Linked DNA regions of Kluyveromyces lactis. The protein of the gene in region 1 interacts with the protein of each later gene in a pairwise test. Links are inferred from orthologs where the notes say so. Each region holds a gene or a part of one and is shown in the gene's direction. Other genes may lie near its edges.

Evidence for each region. The genes of interacting proteins can lie anywhere in the genome.
Region 2: the proteins of LPD1 (region 1) and KGD2 interact in binary tests that used the Saccharomyces cerevisiae proteins (3 or more experiments, as listed by UniProt). The link is inferred for Kluyveromyces lactis from reciprocal best matches to the Saccharomyces cerevisiae genes LPD1 and KGD2.

What each region holds. Positions count from the first base shown.
Region 1 is NC_006040.1:949,553-955,179, forward strand, and holds LPD1 (dihydrolipoyl dehydrogenase), read left to right. Parts: upstream 1-2,496; coding exon 2,497-3,978; downstream 3,979-5,627. Other genes in the region: ARO9 (aromatic-amino-acid:2-oxoglutarate transaminase), read left to right, coding at 1-288; tubulin-binding prefolding complex subunit GIM3, read left to right, coding at 638-1,027; KLLA0_D11143g (uncharacterized protein), read right to left, coding at 1,167-1,411, 1,500-1,545; SEC59 (dolichol kinase), read right to left, coding at 4,687-5,627.
Region 2 is NC_006040.1:1,394,348-1,398,825, reverse strand, and holds KGD2 (dihydrolipoyl transsuccinylase), read left to right. Parts: upstream 1-2,569; coding exon 2,570-3,976; downstream 3,977-4,478. Other genes in the region: SLX4 (Slx4p), read right to left, coding at 1-1,448. UniProt on the Saccharomyces cerevisiae protein: The 2-oxoglutarate dehydrogenase complex catalyzes the overall conversion of 2-oxoglutarate to succinyl-CoA and CO(2).

The sequences.
Region 1 (5,627 bases):
ATTGAACCCTCTGCCGGTATGTTCATTAGTATCAAGATCAATTTTGATAAGTTCGGAGAAATCTCGGATAAATTAAAGGCCATGAATTTCTTAAACTACAAGTTGTTGGAAGAAGGTTGCATTGTAATCTTGGGTTACAGAATGGCAGTTGACAAGAAATTTTCATATGACAGGTCCAACTTTTTAAGAATTACATTTGCTATGGCTCCAGATGAAGAGCATTTACAAACAGCTGCTGAAAGGCTAGGTAAAGGTGTTGAGAGATTCTTCAAAGAGTATCACAACTGAAGGGGTCTGTTTTACAGCTCTTTCTGGTAATTGCTAATTTTCAACCTCACGTTGCACCATAAAAACAAAAGTTAGATACTTATATATGAATGCATAATTACAACGTGAAACAATAAACCTGATAGGGCCGTGAAATATGTCCCAACTGCTTTCTTTTGAGCATGAAATTGTAAAATTGCATGACATAATTTTGCATGTCAGTAGTGTAATTTGCAAGATAAATCTTTAGAGTATGTAAAAGTTGAATAAAAAATAACAAGAATGGCTAAAAGTACAGATGAAAACAGTACATGACATGAGTAGACACAGAGACATCTACCACATCTTACACGCAACACACTAACTAGAAATGGAATTACTACCGGAGGGTCAAAAGAACACGGTCACCGTTGCATACGAAGATCAACAACGTATCAATGAGTTCTCCAAGTTGATCATGAGAAAAGATGCTATCGAACAAGATTTGACGCAACAAAGAACAGAGAAAGAGTACCTCGACGACGTATCGTTGGAAATTGAATTGATAGACGAGGATGAGAAGGTACAATATAAGATCGGAGACGTCTTCGTATTTCTAAAACAGAAAGAAGTAGTTGAAAAGTTAGAATCCGATGCTGAAAACATCGACAGCAATATAGAAAAGCTAGAGAGCGATGAGGCGGAATTGGACTCAAGAATAAAAGAGCTAAAGAGTATATTGTATGCCAAATTCGGTGACAACATCAATTTGGAACGTTGAGCCCATAAATATACATTGCTGAAGTGCTTGATAGAATTGAAAAAATATCCTTAAACCGAGTAATATATGTTTGCGTATAAAATCTACATAGAAAATAATAGTAAAGACCGACACAACGTTGATTCAGTCCATAATGCAATCAAACAGCATGTTCTTTCAGCCCACCTAACGCATGAACCTCCTGGTCTTCTTCTATTTCAAGCCCCCAATTAAAATGTTGGTTCATTTCCTTGAATTTAGCGACAAACTCTTCTGGCAAATCCAAACTAAACCCATTGAATAATGTATATTCATGCGTTATAGTCCCATCAAGTTCATGTGCCACATTCACTAAATCATTGTAGTATTGGAAGCTGTCAGGATATATAACCATAAGTGAAGATACTGTATTTGACGATGACGATGATGATGTTAGTAAAGTTGAGAATTAAAGGGAAAAAAAAGGGTTAAGAAAATCCGTCCTTAAACATACACGAACTGGCCAACGCCGTTCCAATAAAAATAGGTGCAAATCTCATATCTGCGGCTAATGCTTTGTTATTACTGTTGCTACTCTATTCTTTGTTCTTGCTAACAATCTCCCTTATCCTTCATATATCATGATTCATTATTCTTTTATATGGATATCATATCTCATAGTGAGTATTTGGCAGAAGGAAAAACTGGTAATCAAAAAAAAACAACGTGATCATAAATTAATAAACGTTACCCGGTTTGAATCACGTGTTAATCACGTTCTTGATAGCCCGCCCTGCGCCTTTCGTGTCGGCCCCCGTACGGCTTCCGTTTTTTTAGGTTCGTTTCGTTATTTTTCAACTGATTTCATTCAATAGTTTCAATTTTTGTCGATTCCGAAGGTTTCCCTGTTCCCCACGTCAAGACAGTTGCAACTTTTTTGTGATGAGCCGTCGCCTTTATAGATCACACCAGCGAAACAGCTTTTCACAAAGATACTTCTGTTCACTGTGTTATCCCATTTCGATAATTAATAGTAATGACTCTGGCAGTTTGGAAAGCTCAATAGATTGATAAAAAAAAAACTGGTTCTTCAACTTAAAAGTTGCGCAAAGGAACGATGAAATATAGATCAGTTAAATAAGTGGTCTTCTCTGGAATACTACAGTATTTTTTCGAATTACAATCCGTTCAATTATATAATTGTAGTTTATATATGGTCCGTACCGTAGTGAATCACCAAACCCTACCGCATCATGCTGGTATTTGAGTCCTGTAGATCAATTTTCTTGCTATTTAATTGATCAAACCGTCTAATAGTTGTATTTATTTGGGATCGTAATCTTTTTTTTCCATTCCAATTGACATTAATATAAAAGGAATTCACTAGGATATTTTATATTTCAAGAAATATATCAAGTGAAACCACAGAGAAAGGGTTCAGATAACGTATAAGTAAGAGGTTAGAGGATTATCTTATTTATCTTGTTTATTTATATCCGCCCTAATCAAAGATGTTGAGATTCAATTCTACCCGTTCCTTTAGCTCTTCTGCTCTTTTGAAAACCGTTACTAAGAAGCACGACTTGGTCGTTATTGGTGGTGGTCCAGGTGGTTACGTTGCTGCTATCAAGGCTGCTCAACTCGGTTACGATGTTGCTTGTGTTGAGAAAAGAGGTAGACTAGGTGGTACTTGTTTAAACGTTGGTTGTATCCCATCCAAGGCTTTGTTGAACAATTCTCACCTATACCATCAAATGAAGACGGATGCTAAGCAAAGAGGTATTGATATCAACGGTGAAATCAACATTAACGTTGCTCAATTTCAAAAGGCTAAGGACACTGTCGTCAAGCAATTGACTGGTGGTATTGAAATGTTGTTCAAGAAGAATGGTGTCACTTACTACAAAGGTTTAGGTGCCTTTGAAACTGACAAATCCGTTAAGGTTCTTCCTGTGGAAGGTCTGGAAGGTTCCGTTACTGAAGATCACCTCTTGGAAAGTGACAGGATTATTGTTGCCACTGGTTCTGAAGTGACTCCATTCCCAGGTATCACCATTGATGAGGAAAGAATCGTTTCTTCTACTGGTGCTCTTTCCTTGAAAGAAATCCCAAAGAAATTGGCTATCATCGGTGGTGGTATCATCGGTTTAGAAATGGGTTCAGTTTACTCCAGATTGGGTTCTAAGGTCACTGTGATCGAATTCCAACCTCAAATTGGTGCTACCATGGATGGTGAAGTCGCTCAAACTACTCAAAAGATTTTGAAGAAACAAGGTCTCGACTTTAAGTTGAGCACCAAGGTCTTGTCTGCCTCCAGAAACGGTGACGTCGTTGACATCGAAGTCGAAGGTGCCAAGAATGGTAAGAAGGAATCTCTCCAAGCTGATGTCTTGTTGGTCGCTGTCGGCAGAAGACCATACGTCGCTGGTTTGAACGCTGAAAAGATCGGTTTGGAAGTCGACAAGCGTGGTAGATTGGTCATTGATGAACAATTATCCACCAAATTCCCACACGTCAAGGTTATCGGTGATGTTACCTTCGGTCCAATGTTGGCTCACAAGGCTGAAGAAGAAGGTATCGCTGCTGCCGAATACTTCAAGGTCGGCCACGGTCATGTCAACTACGGTAACATCCCGGCTGTCATGTACTCCCACCCAGAAGTCGCTTGGGTCGGTAAGACCGAAGAACAATTAAAGGAAGCTGGTATTCAATACAAGATTGGAAAGTTCCCATTCATCGCTAACTCTAGAGCTAAAACCAACATGGACACCGAAGGTTTCGTTAAGATTTTGATCGACGCAGAATCTGAACGTTTACTAGGTGCTCACATCATTGGTCCTAACGCTGGTGAAATGATCGCTGAAGCCGGTTTAGCATTGGAATACGGTGCTTCTGCTGAAGACATCGCTAGAGTTTGTCACGCTCATCCAACTCTATCCGAAGCTTTCAAGGAAGCTAACTTAGCTGCTTACGCCAAGCCAATCAACTTCTAATTTTTCTTGATAAAGCGAAGTGGAAAAAAAAAATTGCGGATAATTGAAGCTGCTTGATATCAATAACTATAATAAGCTACTTAACAATGGTACGTCGTATCCAGTTGTCGTCTATTTTTTTTTTTATTTATCTCGCCATCTGAAGCATCTTTCTTCTTATATATTCCTCGAATCATTCTTTGATTTCAAACTATACATTGAAAAGTAAAGATTATCAAAAATAAATAGTAAACACGTATAATATATTTAACGTAAATGATATGAAATGTTTGTAAACGAATTCTCAGAACATTCTCAGCTTGTGTGTAATAGGCACCACATCGTTATATCAAAAAAAGAGATCATTGGTCCAGAATGAACAGGGGAAATAAAAAGATTGGACGAGTCCGGAGTCGAACCGAAGACCTCTCCCATGCTAAGGGAGCGCGCTACCAACTACGCCACACGCCCTAATTTCTTATTAACAAGAGTTTTGAGTGAACCATCACCACTCCGTGTAAACATGATTTTCTATTTATATCATTACGTTTCACAATACTAACTTATAACGCATTTTGACCATTCAAATCTTATTCAGAAGCAAGAAAGATGGAAACATGGTCAGTGAAGTACCCTTGGAACAAAAATAGGCCCTAATCTATAAATTTACTACATACTCAAATTTTGAATATATAGGTTTTGCATAACAGGTTTGACTATCTATCAATACTATTCCTTCATAGATTCCAACAATATCAACATGAAAGTTGGAATTAGTAAGTTATCATTCAAAGTACTATTACCTTCCAAGATGCCAGCTAGGAAACATACAAGAACCAAATTCATGAACGACACCTCGGTGAAAAAGTTAAAGTAAACTTTCATAATCACTGTAGTTATGCCAGTAGCTGCAATGAATGCAAAAGTGCCCTCGAAAGTTTTACAAGTATTTGGCCATCTGTTTCTTCCAAATTTTTTACCAATAATGGAAGCCAATGAATCACCTACGCCTAGCGAGATGATACCGATAATGGAACCATTGATCAAAAAGGGCAAAGAGATACCGATAATGAAATAAAGGTAGGAAATAATGATTGGCCCCTTTTCATCTCTGAAGTCAGCGAAAGATCTCAAATGTTTGTCCAAATAGTGTCCCACTGGGTAAATATGTAGGAAACGAATGTACTCGACAATGAGAAAAAGGTTTACAGTTCCAGCCAACGCAATTTTCACAAAATTTGAATCCATCATGATTGCCGGAATCAAGAGGGGTAAGATTGCAAAATGCCAAACTTTTCTTGACGTATTCAAAGACCAATTAGATTTCAACGCAAACACACTGGGCAACAACAATAATGCAGAACCTAACCAGATCCCCATTATTTTCAGTCTGATCATAGAGGAACCGATGTAATCTATAAGCCATGTGAACGGTGGGACATTGTTAATGATGAGATTCGTTTGGATATAATACGAAAATCCCACAACAATCATTGGCAACAAGAGTAAGGTTCGGATCCACCGAGTAGCACCCACACTTTCCAGGCCGTACGACACTGCGGAAGTGACAGTTACCAAGACGATAAAACTTGTAAAGCATACTTGGAAAACTTGGAAATAAATAGAGTCAGACTCAACGAGGGCCAAAATATCAGTGCAAAGAAGAGCGA
Region 2 (4,478 bases), about 440 kb from region 1:
TCGTTATTATCATCATGCAACATAGAAGTAGTTAAAGTAGACAAACTTTCTTGCTCTTGCGTATCTACCTCCCCCTTAACACTGGCGAAAACGTCATTAGAGTCCCTATTGCTATCAACATATATCTTGACGACATTAGCAGGTTTTGAAGCTTGTTGCTGATTCTGTTGTTGTTGGTCTTGAAAGGTAGTAGTTCTCGTTGCGGGCACCTGAATAGTCCCGGTTCTTTGGGCCTTCATTGGAGATACGATGGAGGACACTACATCGTAAGACGTTTGTGATATGTTTATCAGTTGATCGTTTATGTTTGCCCTGGAATATTCCCTTTTCGTTTTCTCACCAGTGGGTAAAGTCTTGGAATCTGGTGGTAAATAGCATGGTATATCGTAATCGACGTCTGCCTTGTTCTTGTCTTGAATCATGAAACTCAGCTCTTCAAAGCTAATGATAGACCCGCTATCGCATGAATCGGCTATCTGAGACGGTACATCCGTCTCAGATGAAGGCACGTCTATGCTAATTGGTAGTTCCTGTTCGATGACAGAGCTTGGGTTCGAGATCGGTTTGAACCTCAATCCATCTTCCGTTGAGCACCGGTTATTACTGCTTTCTCCTTCGACAAGTTGAGACAACGTATACACAGGCGCATTGTTATCCAACGTTAAACTTGGAAGAATAGTCTCAGACTCTCCATCTGAGCACTGAGAAGATATCTGCTTTTCTGGGGATAACTGAGACGCTTTCCAAAGATTGTGCTGTTCATCAGCACCGTATACGTATTGCTGTACCGAGTTTAGCTCGCTTCTAGAAACTTTTGGTAATTTTTCTCGTAGGAGGCCAACGATATGTTGCCATTCTGATTCATTAAAGGGCGCAAATTGTGTCGGATGAGAATCCTGTAAACTTTCCGCATCTGCAGATGCCTCCGAGTCCAATTTCGACACCAATTTTTTAACCTTGGCAGATTTACCCGAAAGAATCGAAATCATCTTCTGAGCCCTATCCTTCACTCTATTTGATTCCCAATTATCTGTATTGAACTGGGTAATACTCTTGATTCTTTTCTGCAATCGTGCTGTCGGCTGCTTGACCTTTGAGGATTTTATCACTTTCTTGACTGGCACTTTTTTGGAAGACACCAGTGGAATATCCGCTTGATCTTGTGTTTCCAGCGCAAATCTTGACAGAACATTGCGGAAGGTGTGCACCACAGTCTCCTGGTGGTTCAGTTCATCTATGGCACCTTGGACTTGAGTAGAGATCAGAATATCATCATCACCTTCCTCCGGTGGAATCTCAGTCTCCTGCTCCTCATCTTGATCCTCATCATCGCTGAACATAGTAGGAACCTGAGTCATGCAAATATCACCCTGTTCCACTGAATCTTCAGACAAATGATCGTTCACCATCAGCAAATGCCTACCAGCTTTTTCCAACTCATCATGCATCAGGAAAGAGAGGTTTGCTATTGAATTCTCTGTCTATATCTTACAAGTATACCAGTCACCTGGTATATCAGCAGTCCTTTCCAATTGACGCACCGCAAGGCCACTCATAAACATACGTTGGTACAGTAACACACTAACACGTACTATATATATAGAGAGAGAGAGAAATAGAGAGAAATAGAGTTTGGGATACATAATGATAAATGCCAGCATGATTCCAAATCAAGAATAGTAAATACAATTATAGAGATGAACCTCAAATTGCATAGAAGCAGTGAGAAATCGAGAAAACGCGATATTTTTTCATGCATTGCACGAAATAAAACAGGGTTAGTCGGGGTAATACGAATGTAATACGAACGTACTCTACACGTGACTTGTTATTACTTATTCCTTATTCCCGGAACTCTTCTTACTTTTTATGGCCTCAGTTCGACTCCCGGAGCGACCCCTTCGGTGCAATTAAATCCAATCCTCCCGTCCTTCATCACTCACTCTTAACGATCCGGACCGGATTATTTAGTCTTTCTTTGTGCTCTCTGCTCTTCTGTTCTGGTCGGCGCCGAGTCTCCGTCATATCACTTCATACGAGCTGGTATTCCGGTAATTGGCTCCGCCAAAGGGCCCTATTTTCCAAGTTTTTTGAGTAAGCACATTTTAATTACCTACTGTATGCACTTTCGCCATTATTATATATATATTATATATATAATAATGATAATAAAGTTCAATTCTTTGAAAGGTTGCCTTTAAACATTGAATGTTTAACCCCAGGATTTATAAAACGGTCCGTTTTTGAGCTAATTTTGACTACAGTTTGAATTAAATAGAAAGACAGATACTTTTTTCTGATTCCTGTTGAGAAAATAAGGAACCTTTTTGAATTCGTACCAAATTTTTCCTTCTTTCTTTCTTTTGAATCATAATCATCATAAATTATCACATTTGATAATTTTGTTTCTAAACCAAATATAGAGCAAAGGTATTCAAGTCAGTTGAATCCATTTACTCTTCAGAAATAACATTCGGAAATATACTCAGGTCTCGGAGTGTATCTACAAACACAGATTATAATATAATATATTATCCTTTTTCACTTTTGGTTTTGTCCCATTCCAACAATGTTAAGGAGTTCTACTAGAGTTGCAGTTAAATCTGCTTTGCACAAGCCTTTGGTTCGTTGTGCTACTGTTTCACAATTAGAAGCGGTTAGAAGTTTTAGTTCAAGCCGAATTTCTTCCGATATCTCTTCAAGAAATGGATCTTTTAACGCCGTGAGTCGTCGTTCTTCTGGTCCATTCCAATTCCGTTGTTCCCCTTCTCAGTTGAACACTAGATTCATGGCAGTTCGTCATGCTACTTCTGTGCCGGTTCCTCCTATGGCTGAATCGTTGACTGAAGGTTCTTTGAAGGAATACACTAAGAAAGTCGGAGATTTCATCGAAAAGGACGAACTGTTGGCTACTATCGAAACCGATAAGATCGACGTCGAAGTCATTTCTCCTATCTCCGGTACCATTGCGAAGTTGAACTTCTCTCCAGATGATACTGTTACCGTTGGTGAAGAGATTGCTCAAATTGAGCCAGGTGAAGCTCCTGCTGGCGGTGCTGCCGCTTCAGAGTCCTCTTCCGCTTCTGCACCTGCTGCTGAAGAACAGCAACAACAGGCTGCTCCTAAGAAGGAAGAGCAACCAGCCACTCCAAAGAAGGAAGAAAAGGCCGCTGCTCCAGCTCCAAAGAAGGAGGAAAAACCAGCCGCTGCTGCTCCAAAGAAGACTGAAGTTGACTCATCTGCTACTGAATCCTCTACCCCATCTTTCACTCAATTCTCCCGTAACGAACATAAGGTCAAGATGAACCGTATGAGAATGAGAATCGCTGAAAGATTAAAGGAATCTCAAAACACTGCTGCTTCTTTGACCACTTTCAACGAAGTTGACATGTCCGCTGTCTTGGAAATGAGAAAATTATACAAAGATGAAATCATCAAGACTAAGAACGTTAAATTCGGTTTCATGGGTCTTTTCTCTAAGGCTTGTACTTTGGCCGCTAAGGATATTCCAGCTGTAAATGGTGCTATCTCCGGAGATCAAATCCTTTACCGTGATTACACCGATATCTCTATCGCTGTCGCTACTCCAAAGGGTTTGGTTACCCCAGTGGTTCGTAACGCTGAATCATTGTCTGTTTTAGAAATTGAACAAGAAATTGTCAGATTGGGTAAGAAGGCCAGAGATGGTAAGTTGACTTTGGAAGATATGGCTGGTGGTACTTTCACCATCTCTAACGGTGGTGTCTTCGGTTCATTGTACGGTACCCCAATCATTAACATGCCACAAACGGCTGTTTTAGGTTTGCACGGTGTTAAGGAAAGACCTGTCACTGTTAATGGTCAAATCGTCTCTAGACCAATGATGTACTTGGCTTTGACTTATGACCATAGGTTGTTGGATGGTAGAGAGGCTGTTACTTTCTTGAGAACTGTCAAGGAATTGATTGAAGATCCAAGAAAGATGCTTTTGGCTTAAATTTGATTTAAAGAGTTCTCCATCTTTATAGATATTGTTCTTCTTTTTTTTTTGGCATCACAGAAACTCCCGCTCTGCACTCATGCAAATGTATCCATTCACCTTCTGCAATATATGTGAGGGAGAGAGAAGTATTCTTTATCTAACAATGGTTACATATATGCGTATTCCTCAGCTCTATGACTGTTTCCAGATATTGGCAAACGGACTTGAAGAAAAAAAGAAGAAAAGTAGGCTAATCAACAATACAAGACAAAAGAAAACAACAAAAGGATATCTAAAAAAAAAATCGGGCTTTCTGATTTGCAAGATATGTGAAGTATAATGCATTTATACTATCAAGCTGATACCAATTCCAGTCATGATATTCTAAACAAACATTATACTCATACTTTGATTTCAAGCCGATTCTGAATTACGACGACTTATTCATGATTTATTATGTAAAACACCAACTATTTTCCCCACATTCTCCAGTGTATTGTTCATATAGTCATTTTTT